2 linked regions of the Neodiprion lecontei genome follow. The protein of the gene in region 1 interacts with the protein of each later gene in a pairwise test. Links are inferred from orthologs where the notes say so. Each region holds a gene or a part of one and is shown in the gene's direction. Other genes may lie near its edges. The genes, in order: E3 ubiquitin-protein ligase SIAH1 and ras GTPase-activating protein-binding protein 1.

Region 1 (5,986 bases):
TTCTGCACGGTTTTTGACTTTTTAAAAATTGAGGATTGGTCCTGAACCTAAATTACCCGGTTGCTGGACAACCTGTTAAGCTTCGTATTTCAAATTTATATTAGTTCTTTGAAAATCGGTTAAATATACATGTATAAAACCTCCGCTTACAGTTGTCCGCATATAATGCTCTCAGGTATGTACGTGCGTACATACATTCAACTATCTTAATTCTTGCCAAAGTTCTTACCCACGTGGGACTTTAGTGAAGCGAAATTCTTGATCGATCTTCTGTTAGTCGATCGAATTACATATTTTTTACTGATATAAATGCGGATCCGTGATAGGAGAAATAATAATTTTACGTTTACAGCACGGAAGAATCGAAGTTAAGTGTAGTGCCCTCAACTTATCGACGCAGTTTTTAGATCATAATCGGTGTCAGGTATCAGTGATGCCTCTTTAGGTGCTCTTGTGGTTCAGCGTCGACTGAAAATTGCCAAAGCAGCCAGCCATGGGTATTATTCTTTTCAAGCATGGAAAGGAGCACGACTGGGCGGCGGTAACTGCCATGCCCTACATTTACCTCCACGCCAAAGTTAATTGAGTCGGTAGCGGTAGGGGACTCCTGTACCGAAGTTCGCCAGGCTTCAAAAAAATTACTGTTCCCCAGAATTTTTTTCCAATATTACGAAAACTATGCATCCTAATCGTTTCCTTTGCGGCCTTGGATGTTCCGTGAGGAATAGAATCTCATAAAATCAATCGAAATCGACAAAATTTCATGGCGTGTGAATCGTGAAATGTTGGTGCGTCGCTTAGGTCGATTAAATTCTAAGCCTAGGCAACTTATATTTTAAAAAAAGGGCATGAGAACGCGGTAATGAGTTACTACGAAATTGTTACAATCGACGATTTTCCATGATTGGAGAATTCAGCTCGGAGTCATGGTAATCAGAGTTTTCAGACGTTTCACAGATGTTTTGGTGTCTATTTGTTTGGGATTGCATGGAGAAATGCACTCCTACTTTTTTTTGATAAAAGATGTCTAGGCTCAGATTTTAATCGACATTAGTGACGCACGCATATTTCACAATTCACACGATGTAAAATTTCGTCAATGTTGATTGATTTTGTGCTTTTATCAGAATCTATTCCTCAAGAATATTCCAAGACCGTGAAGACACCGGAACTGAGAGGCCTTTCGCGTCAAATTATAAAATGTTTTGAAAAAAATCAGCATTTAATTCATTACATGATTAATCTTGTAAATTCGATAAAATAATCACATAATAAATTACTATACAAATAATGAAATTAATAATCATATGAAGTGGCATAATCGGAACCGAAACAAATATCGTGCAAAAATCTTTGGCTTATCAGGTGGAGGGCTTGTTAAAATATCCATGCTCTCATCCGAGGGGGTAGAAAAAAAAAATTCTCAGTGGAACAAATCAAACGACACTTCGAAAAATCCGATAACTCATTGTGAGTGCGGTGAACAGTCCCTTCTGAACGTGGTTTGAACATTCTGAACATGGTTCCGAGTTAGATTCTCTGAACAAGGACCCCAAATGTCGCATGCGATATCTAGGGTCCAGTTTCAAAAATCCCCAGACCCTGAAATCTTGAACGTCTTGAAAAATGAGTCTGAAATAAGTTTGTCGCCTGAAATCAGCTGCCAGGCTGCTAGCTGTGGAGTGTATAGTAGGGGGGGATATCTTAAGGGTTATAAAAAGTGAGCTGATTATGGGTACAAATAAGAGTGGTGCTGTGAAAACGTAAGTTGCTGATCTGAACCATCTGAAGTTAGTTTCAAATATCATAAGTTTAAGTGTAACTAACTTCAACATTCAACTTTGTAATAATCGGCGCCACGTCGGTTATTCTATGTTCCCTTACTTGCCTACAGAATTTGACCACATTCTGACGCGCCATACATTAGAGAGTGCCCTCCTTCTATACACTCCAAACTGCTAGTCATAAAAACTCCCTAGAACACAGGCAGGGCTAGTCGTTAATTCGTTAGCGCAAACGCAAAAGATTACCGACAGCATTGAAAGGTGCTGTGCCAGTAATTGAATTGTGTGATGGAAGGAGACAGCCGATTGGAAGAGGAAGAAAAAGAATCCATGTGATGTGATAATCGGACGAGGCCTAACATATCTATTTTTTTTTCTGGTCTAGTGTGGTGAAATATGTAAGTCGTGTAGTGCACGTATTGCAAACGTTGGTAAATGTGTAGGCGTGCATGTATTTGCCTATACGTGCTTGACTGCGTACATGCATCGAAAGCAGGTATAAGCAGAAGTTGTCGCTAGTGCAGTGGTAATTTTTGCAGTACTTGAAAAAAAGAAAGACAATCAGCCAATAGACATTTTATCAGCATGAAGTGTCCAGAGATACGACGGATAACGTTCGCGCATCGTCTGTTGTGAATCATAATGAAGATATAAGTACTGGCTACTAACTATACAATGTACGCATGGTGTGTATGCATGTACGTACATACATACGTACTGGCATGCGCTGAAGTGGAGAAGTGACAAAGTAAGACTAGATAACACGCCGTACGCGTACGGCGTGCATGTAGTAGGTAGAGGCCCCTTGTAAACGTCGCCAGTCGCCACTGCCTATCGCCTGTCGTCGCTCGTCAGTCTTCAGTCTATCTACTAGATCAGAGCCTGAGTTTGATCACGTCCTCCGTAGATCCAAGTCCGCGCCCTCGCCGGCAATCGTCCGACGCCACGATGCCGTTGACACCCCCGACGTCTTTGCCCTCCTTGTCAGTGTCAATATTACTGTCAGTTTCGTTATCCTCGTCGTCGTCATCGTCATCGCCATCGCCATCATCTTCATCATCATCACCATCATCATCATCATCATCATCATCATCAGTATCATCATCATCATCGCCGTCGTCGTTGCCGTCGCCGTTGTCGCTGTCATTGTCTTCGCAGCTTCCGTTGCCGTTGCCACCGCCCGTACACAGCACCACCACCGCAGAGCAAACCGTCGACGCGCCTCGATCTCGCTACGTCGCGATGTAGCTTTCCCGTCGATTCGGTTTATTTTTTTATTATCGAGTGTCCGTAAACGTTGACACTATCCGTACCACAGAAAGAAGGGGTTAGTTTCCATGTCGGAAGACTCGGGCTTGTTTGCGTCCAACGATAATATTCGTTCAAGTGCCTTTTTTTAATCTTATCATTACTACTGTAAGCAAGACCTATACCAAAACCAATACCAAAATAAGAATATCCAATGAATAATACCGGAACGTTGTGACAGGCCGCCTTGCATCCTTTTCTTGTGGAACCTCACTGGTGCGGAAAATTTGTAATGAAATCGTTAATGAGTTAACGAGATAAACCAACCCACCAGGTATACCTCAGATATCGGGGACAGCCGGTCAGGTATAAAACGAAACTGGGGACGTTCTTTCACACAAAAAATTAGACTTAGATAAGACCAGTGACCTAGGAAGGAAGCGTCCCGTTACAGTCTGCAATCCGCTCGACATAATGTCACAATTGAATATAAGTTCGGGAAAGCGAGGCCGTGGAGTACCGGGCACCTCAGCATCGGCAGCCTCTGCATTGAGCAGTTCTGCGGATCTAGCCAGCCTCTTCGAATGCCCCGTGTGCTTTGACTATGTCTTGCCACCTATACTGCAATGCCAGAGCGGTCATCTAGTATGCAGCAACTGTCGCCCCAAGCTCAACTGTTGTCCCACTTGTCGGGGTCCCCTAGGTTGGTACATACATTATTCACCAACTTTGTCCCAGTTACTTATACTTTTATAGTATCTACCTATGTTTGACTGTGATGGGTACCGATGATGTTATCTTCTCGTCCAGTTTACCTTGAATTTAAAAAAAAAAAAAAACAAACAACCAAACAGGTAACATCAGGAACCTGGCAATGGAGAAAGTAGCGAGCAATGTAATGTTCCCCTGCAAGTATTCGACAAGCGGTTGTACTGTATCTCTTGTCCACACGGAGAAAGCTGATCATGAGGATGCTTGTGAGTTTCGACCCTACAGTTGCCCTTGCCCCGGTGCTTCTTGCAAGTGGCAGGGATCTCTCGAACAAGTCATGCCTCACCTTGTTATGAGCCATAAGAGTATTACCACCCTTCAAGGTAATCTGCAAATATTAGTCTAGCTTACAACTATTTCTAATAATCGATGCAACAGACTAATCACTAGGAAAGACAGGGATTTTTTCTTACTGTAATTGGTGATGTGCTGTAATTTGGAAACATATTCTGCAGCAATCCTATTCTCTTCTAGGTGAAGACATCGTATTTTTAGCAACGGATATCAATCTTTCTGGAGCAGTAGATTGGGTTATGATGCAGTCATGTTTTGGTCATCACTTTATGCTTGTCTTGGAGAAACAAGAAAAGTATGATGGACATCAGCAATTCTTTGCCATTGTTCAACTAATTGGTTCAAGGAAACAAGCTGAAAACTTCGCGTACAGGTAGATATTATTTTTTTATAATCTCGTGACTATTTATTATTTGCCACTGAGGTCACAACAGGCAGGTACTGGAATAAAAAGTAGGAGGCACTTGATTTTTATCGAACTGTCAATTACATACGTGAATGAATTAATTTCAACATATCAATTTTTCAAAATATTCATCATTGATTTATTGACGTGAGATATATTCGTCGGAAAAATCGAGGACTCGAAAAAATATTCAAGAAAAATGATTTGTCTGATTTGAATTTTTTAATTTAATTATTTTATTCCTATTCCGATATTCCTAAGAGTGAATTGGAATTTATTTTGCACTTTTTGTCATTTACCATACGTAAAATATCGTCTGGATTATTTATTGCTTATGGGGAAATATTTTAGCACAACGGAGTCCTATTCCATGACGTAGCCATTTTTCCTTAACTTTTAAAGATTAATCTAAATATCAGATAGAGCCTGCATTATTATAATTTATGTCAGGGATATCATAGAGTTAATATTATGTTACATCATTATAGTTATAGTACATGGCTCTCTATAAATAATATACTTATAACCAGCTTTATAGTCAGGATCAAGTCCGCGGACTTCCATCGTAGATGGATTGAATATACATATACAATCTATACTAAACGCTGTTTATATTTTCATGCATATTTATGAATATATGATTATATACACAGTATAGAATAATGAAGACAAGATAAGACCTGTGAGTTTAAAGTTTGGCTGTGAAAGTTATAATGGCATCTGAGTCTGGTTTTTTCTTTCTCGATATTTCAGATTGGAATTGAATGGTCATAGACGACGGCTTACGTGGGAAGCTATGCCAAGATCTATCCACGAAGGTGTATCTTCTGCTATTCTTAATTCCGACTGCTTAGTGTTTGATACGTCGATGGCACAATTATTTGCCGATAATGGAAACCTTGGGATCAACGTGACCATTTCTATGGCCTGAAATAAACAAATGATCAGATAGCAAGCAAATGAACAATGCTGGACAGTGAAAATCGTTTATGGCATCACATATACAGTGGAAATGTCTACATTCGATAAGGTCACCTTACATGACTTCCCGTTCCTACCGCCTTGATATACTTGGAACAAAGGTAGAGCATTTTTCCATCGTTAGCGCAATCACTGTATACAAGATAGCAGATGTAATTTGCCCAACATTAGGTTCGCAATTAATTTCTAACTATTCGCTAGTAGTTACAATGCCGATTACCTGGTAAAACTGGTTTACATTAGTAGATTTAATAGTGAGTACACAAACATACTTTTTCTATAAATAATTCTGCTAATTTAGGTATAGTTACTGTCCACACAGAGCCAGTAATTCAGTAGAGAAGAGTTGACAATCGCAACAGTTGCCAAATAATAACACATTCTGTAGATTCGCATGTTTCGGACCCAGCTACTGAGCGCCAGAGTCCCTACGAAACAGAGTCCGGCCAATCTTCTCTATCTTGGTCCTCATTTTCTGATGAATCGAAATTGCGCGAAGTTT
Region 2 (4,942 bases), on another chromosome or scaffold:
AAATCATTAAAATAACATAATATAGCCCAGCTCTTCTGTATAAATTTGTATTTCACCTAATAATAATGATAATAGTAATGGTAATGATAATATTATTTAATAACTAGTTGACAAGACAGAAAAAAAGTAAAAGCACGGCCCGAACAAACCGCTTGAATGATGCAGTTAATTTCTACACAGGTGTCAAGTATTATAGTAAATATAAAGATGTATGCTGACGCTGATTTCGCATATTCTTAGAATGTTGCAATACTGGTTTCATTTTTTGAATATTCGATGGATTGTAATGATGTATATCAATTGTACTCATAGCCCTATGCAGTTTGGCTGTTGTATATGACATAATTAGGCAAATTGGAACCGCAAATCTTATCTGAAGATAATTTATCTAATATGAGGTATTTATTATACAGAATAAATTCAATCTATAAATGCTGTTGAATGGGACCCACATGCTCTACTTGAGCGGTCCTATTTGACAGCAGAATGAGTTATACTATTATATAACTGGCAAATAGATCGGTTTTAACCTTGAATAATCAAAACTAAAGATCATACGTCCTGATTTCGGGTAATTTTGTGTGTGCACAATCAGTATATGAACAACATATAACTTATGGGAATTGATGATAAAATGATCGATAAAACAAGCCAATGAAGACTGTGAAACAAACTGCATTTTGTACAAAAGAAAAAAAAATTGATTTAAAACAAGATTAGGTTCGCTCCTATTCTGTGAGCTGGAGAGCATCCCGACATGTTGCAATCAACCATGTCCAACCATTTTAACAGTAAGATTATTTTAATTTTGTTTATAAATAAACTTAAAAGCTATTGTAGCGAAGTAAGCAGGCAATGTACTTTTTACAATGTTGTAAAAAGATTGCTTTCTTATTGTTAAACAAGATATAGAATTAAATAAAAACTCATTTTGTGTACATAAATTGTCTGACTATTCATCCTCATTCTTTCTATGTTACCTTGAGAACCTGCATCAAGTGTAACACTATACGTAATTTTTACTTTTAATGGCGGTTTGCGGTGTATCGCGTGAAAAGATGTTTGTACCATAAAGCCCATCTCGACAATACACAAATCAGTAACAGTAACTAGGTATGACAATTATACTTCACCATCAATCTAGTCCCCATTTAAATGCTGTGCCTAATTTGTCGTCACACTTAGTAGAAAATCATTCATACCGAGTGTAATTTTTATTTGTTTATTTAATTTAACGAGTGAAAGTAATATATTAGTGGTTTTATCGTGTATGTATGTCCGATGTACATACATGCATACATGCAGAAAACATCGCCCCAAAATATTCACTATAATTATAGTAATAGGAATTCAGGCAAGAGCTGGTAGCGCGGTAAATTATTTATTGTTCCCGGCTAAGTAATGCAAAGTTATAATATTGGAAAGCTATTTGAATCGGTTATATTCCCTTGCTTATTTCCCTCAATTACAGTATGATATCAGGGTATCGGAAGCAACAATAACCACTGCTATTTTACAGGATCATTCAGTCGTTCCATGTATTTTCGCACATAAATTTTGCAGAATGCGCCGAATATTTTTGTCCGAAATATGCAGCCATGTTTGTTTGTAACCGCAGTCAAACCGTTCGACCCTCCCGGGTTTCTGATGTGTGGGGTCTACACGATTGAAATCACGGCTAGCCTCGAAGCAGCTCCCAAAGCCTTTGGGTTCGAAGCCTCTCGAATCGCGCATGCGCATCCAGTGCATGTGCTGACACCACGGTACACTGAGGGTCCTACACCGAACTGTTTTTATAATTAACATTATTGTAAACTGTTATTATTCATACTGAACCTTGTTTCATCGAAATTTGTCCAGCGTAACACTACCGTGTAACTTAAGTGTAACCAAACGCATCAAGATCTGTGAAGGTGAGCATTGGATTAGACCGATATTTCGTGTATATCTCGCTAAGAACAGCACCACAATCTCAGAAGACCTTGCACCGAGCAATTTCGGCGTGGTTTCACATGCCATAGCCCTAGACATGCCGGCTTTGTAGGCTCAATTGAACATAGCGTTACACGCTCTATGGTATAACCTCACATTACTCGGTATTTGTTATCACTCAAAAAAATTTCTGTCAACTCCAAGTGAGCGATTTTTTCTTTTTTTTTTTTTATGCTACCGTAGCCCTTGGAAATTTTCGCAAAATGTCCACGAATTTAATCGCCATGCCCCGCCACAGAGCGCCACTCTGAGGACGCTGCGTTTATGCATTGTCCGCCTCGAGAGATTTTTCAGTTTGTTTAATCCTGGCATCTGGGTTCGGCCAATCTATCCGGATAGCGTCACTTGGGAACAAAATTCTGCCGAAGTAGAATTAACATACTCTACTCGCCTCTAATAATGCGCCCCACACGTCTTTGTATTCACCATAATTCCAAATAATTTGAATTTTTTTCTTGCACCTTCTGTTTTAATTTCATGTTCTCACCTGGTTCATGACTAATTTTTAGTATTCATCTACAGACTATCCATCATTATTTTGCTGTTTGATGCCCCTTGGCTTTTTTCTGAAGCTTGATATTCAATCAAGGTTGGAACGTTATGCCTAAAACACAGTGTTCCGTCGTGTAACTTCCCACAAGAAAAGATGCATTCACTTCCAAAGATAACGACTCCTATTTGCTTCTATTATATATAGATTATATTATACTCTGTAAATCAGTTGCCCGAACTCTGAAGTATGCATAGGTTGGAATTGAAGTAGTTTTAATGTAACTCGTACTGTTGTTGACAAATGCTTATTGTACAAGAATTTCAAACGTGACCAATGACTAATGACTGACAAATAGATTAGATGAAAGGAAAAACATATTTTGTATAAATATGCTGCCGTCTGAGATGTCTTTGAATATATTTTAACCCAGCCAAGAGTTTAGTATTTACATGCAGAACATTTCTACAGATAATCTATCCTTTTTTTTTGTACATTCTCATTAATTTTAATTATATTGCGCCTATGTTTCAGAAAATCTGCCTGCCTTAATATTTGTAAGACTTTTCAATCATCAACAACATCTCACTAGGTACTCAAGATAATCAGTTTGCTGAGAAATATCAACCTTGTTATATAATTAACTCATACTTGAAGACGGAAAACAGCGTCAAGGAGTAGGACAGGAAATGGTCATGGAGGCATCCCCCTCGCCCCAATCTGTCGGCCGCGAGTTCGTCCGACAATACTATACTTTGCTGAACAAGGCCCCGTCCCACCTGCATAGGTATTCTATAAGTTCATAAATGATTTATATAATTTGGTGTAGTAACAGATATGCCCTACGTTACCTGCACATCACAATGTGTTCATTTATTATTACTACCAGTACTCAGTCATTACATAATACTCTTTTGCAGAACTACTGTTCAGATTTGTTTATCATAAATCTATTACTGCTGCTGTAGTGCTTAGATGATAATTTCAATATTCTTCACCTTTGCTGTTCACTTACCACCATTTACTTCAGTGAAAGTAGTCTCCTTACAGCAGTACAGATTTTTCAACAGACATATCCAAAATTTAATGGACGTATTCATGTCACTCAAAGTTGTACCAATAATATTCGGAAATACGATTGTAAAATTTCTGTTGAGAAATTTGAGGTCAGATACAAAAAAACCAAACAGTATGTAATATTTGTAGCACTACAAGTTTTTTGGATTTATGATAAACTATGTGGTCTGTACTACGCAAAACCTACTCCCTGCTACGTCACCATATGATTATGAATTGTGACCTTTACCTAATTTCTCATTTAGGTTCTATAATAACCACTCGTCGTTTGTTCATGGAGGGCTGGACGCTCCTAACAGAGAAATAAATCCAGCTATTGGTCAGAAACAAATCCATCAAAAAATCCAACAATTGAATTTTCGCGATTGTCATGCAAAGATCAGTCAAGTTGACTCACAGGCTACACTTGGGAATGGTGTTGTTGTTCAGGTATATAATCATTCTAACATTTACAACTTTGACCAATCATTATGTAACCACTAGATTATTGACAAGTTTTTATAACAATTCTCTAGCATGATATAATTTGGCTGTAACAATTGTTACAGGTGACAGGAGAGCTGTCTAATGCAGGACAGCCGATGCGTCGCTTCACACAAACGTTTGTTTTGGCTGCGCAAGCACCAAAAAAGTACTACGTTCATAATGACATCTTTCGTTACCAAGACCTTGGCTTCCCTGATGAGGAAGAAGGAGAAGTTGAAGGTGGTGATGGGGGTATAGGTGAAGGCGTTGGTGAACGGGAACCTGAAGAAGGTGTGCGTTCGGAACCAGAAGAGGATGAACAACCCAATCAAGGGCATCAGTTGCCACCGGCAACTGCACCTCCAGAGCCACAAGGTCCACCTTCCCTTATTCCAAGTCAACAACCACAGCTTCAACAGCAACAGCAACACGTATACTACGCCCCGCCACCTCAGCAACCCGTAAGCTGTGTTTTAATATTGATACGCAAAACAATATTGTTTTTAACTGGTACTCACACATGTCAAGGGTACTCGACTATACACAACGAAGATTAGCTTCACATATTTCAATGTATCATGATTTATTTTGTGTAGTATTACGATCCCGCAATAGACAGGCTGCATAGAATTTTTGACATGGAACAGGGGAAAACTCGGGAAATTGGAGGTCTGGCGGTGGTGTGTTATCCTCAATAGTCAATTCTATTTATAGATTGTGATCTCCAGATGCAGCAAAATTTTATTTGCATTAATAAAAATGAGAATTATCTATTTTTCTTATCTCATAATAGAAATTGTGCTAATATTGAACAGATGTGTAATGTCACTGTAATTACAGTTAATACTTGATGTTGCTCCGGTAACCTCCAAATATTATCTGAATTTTATAGATTTTGATATTTTACACAAATTATCC

Evidence for each region.
Region 2: the proteins of E3 ubiquitin-protein ligase SIAH1 (region 1) and ras GTPase-activating protein-binding protein 1 interact in a two-hybrid assay, tested with the Drosophila melanogaster proteins (2 studies listed by BioGRID). The link is inferred for Neodiprion lecontei from reciprocal best matches to the Drosophila melanogaster genes sina and rin.

The regions. Positions count from the first base shown.
Region 1 is NC_060264.1:36,320,203-36,326,188, forward strand, and holds E3 ubiquitin-protein ligase SIAH1, read left to right. Parts: upstream 1-2,004; 5' UTR 2,005-2,532; exon of another isoform or gene 2,533-3,273; 5' UTR 3,274-3,506; coding exon 3,507-3,735; intron 3,736-3,886; coding exon 3,887-4,126; intron 4,127-4,277; coding exon 4,278-4,470; intron 4,471-5,256; coding exon 5,257-5,434; 3' UTR 5,435-5,474; downstream 5,475-5,986. UniProt on the Drosophila melanogaster protein: E3 ubiquitin-protein ligase that is required for specification of R7 photoreceptor cell fate in the eye by mediating the ubiquitination and subsequent proteasomal degradation of Tramtrack (ttk).
Region 2 is NC_060262.1:29,946,586-29,951,527, reverse strand, and holds the start of ras GTPase-activating protein-binding protein 1, read left to right. Parts: upstream 1-1,740; 5' UTR 1,741-1,913; intron 1,914-3,016; 5' UTR 3,017-3,171; coding exon 3,172-3,269; intron 3,270-3,804; coding exon 3,805-3,988; intron 3,989-4,107; coding exon 4,108-4,485; intron 4,486-4,942.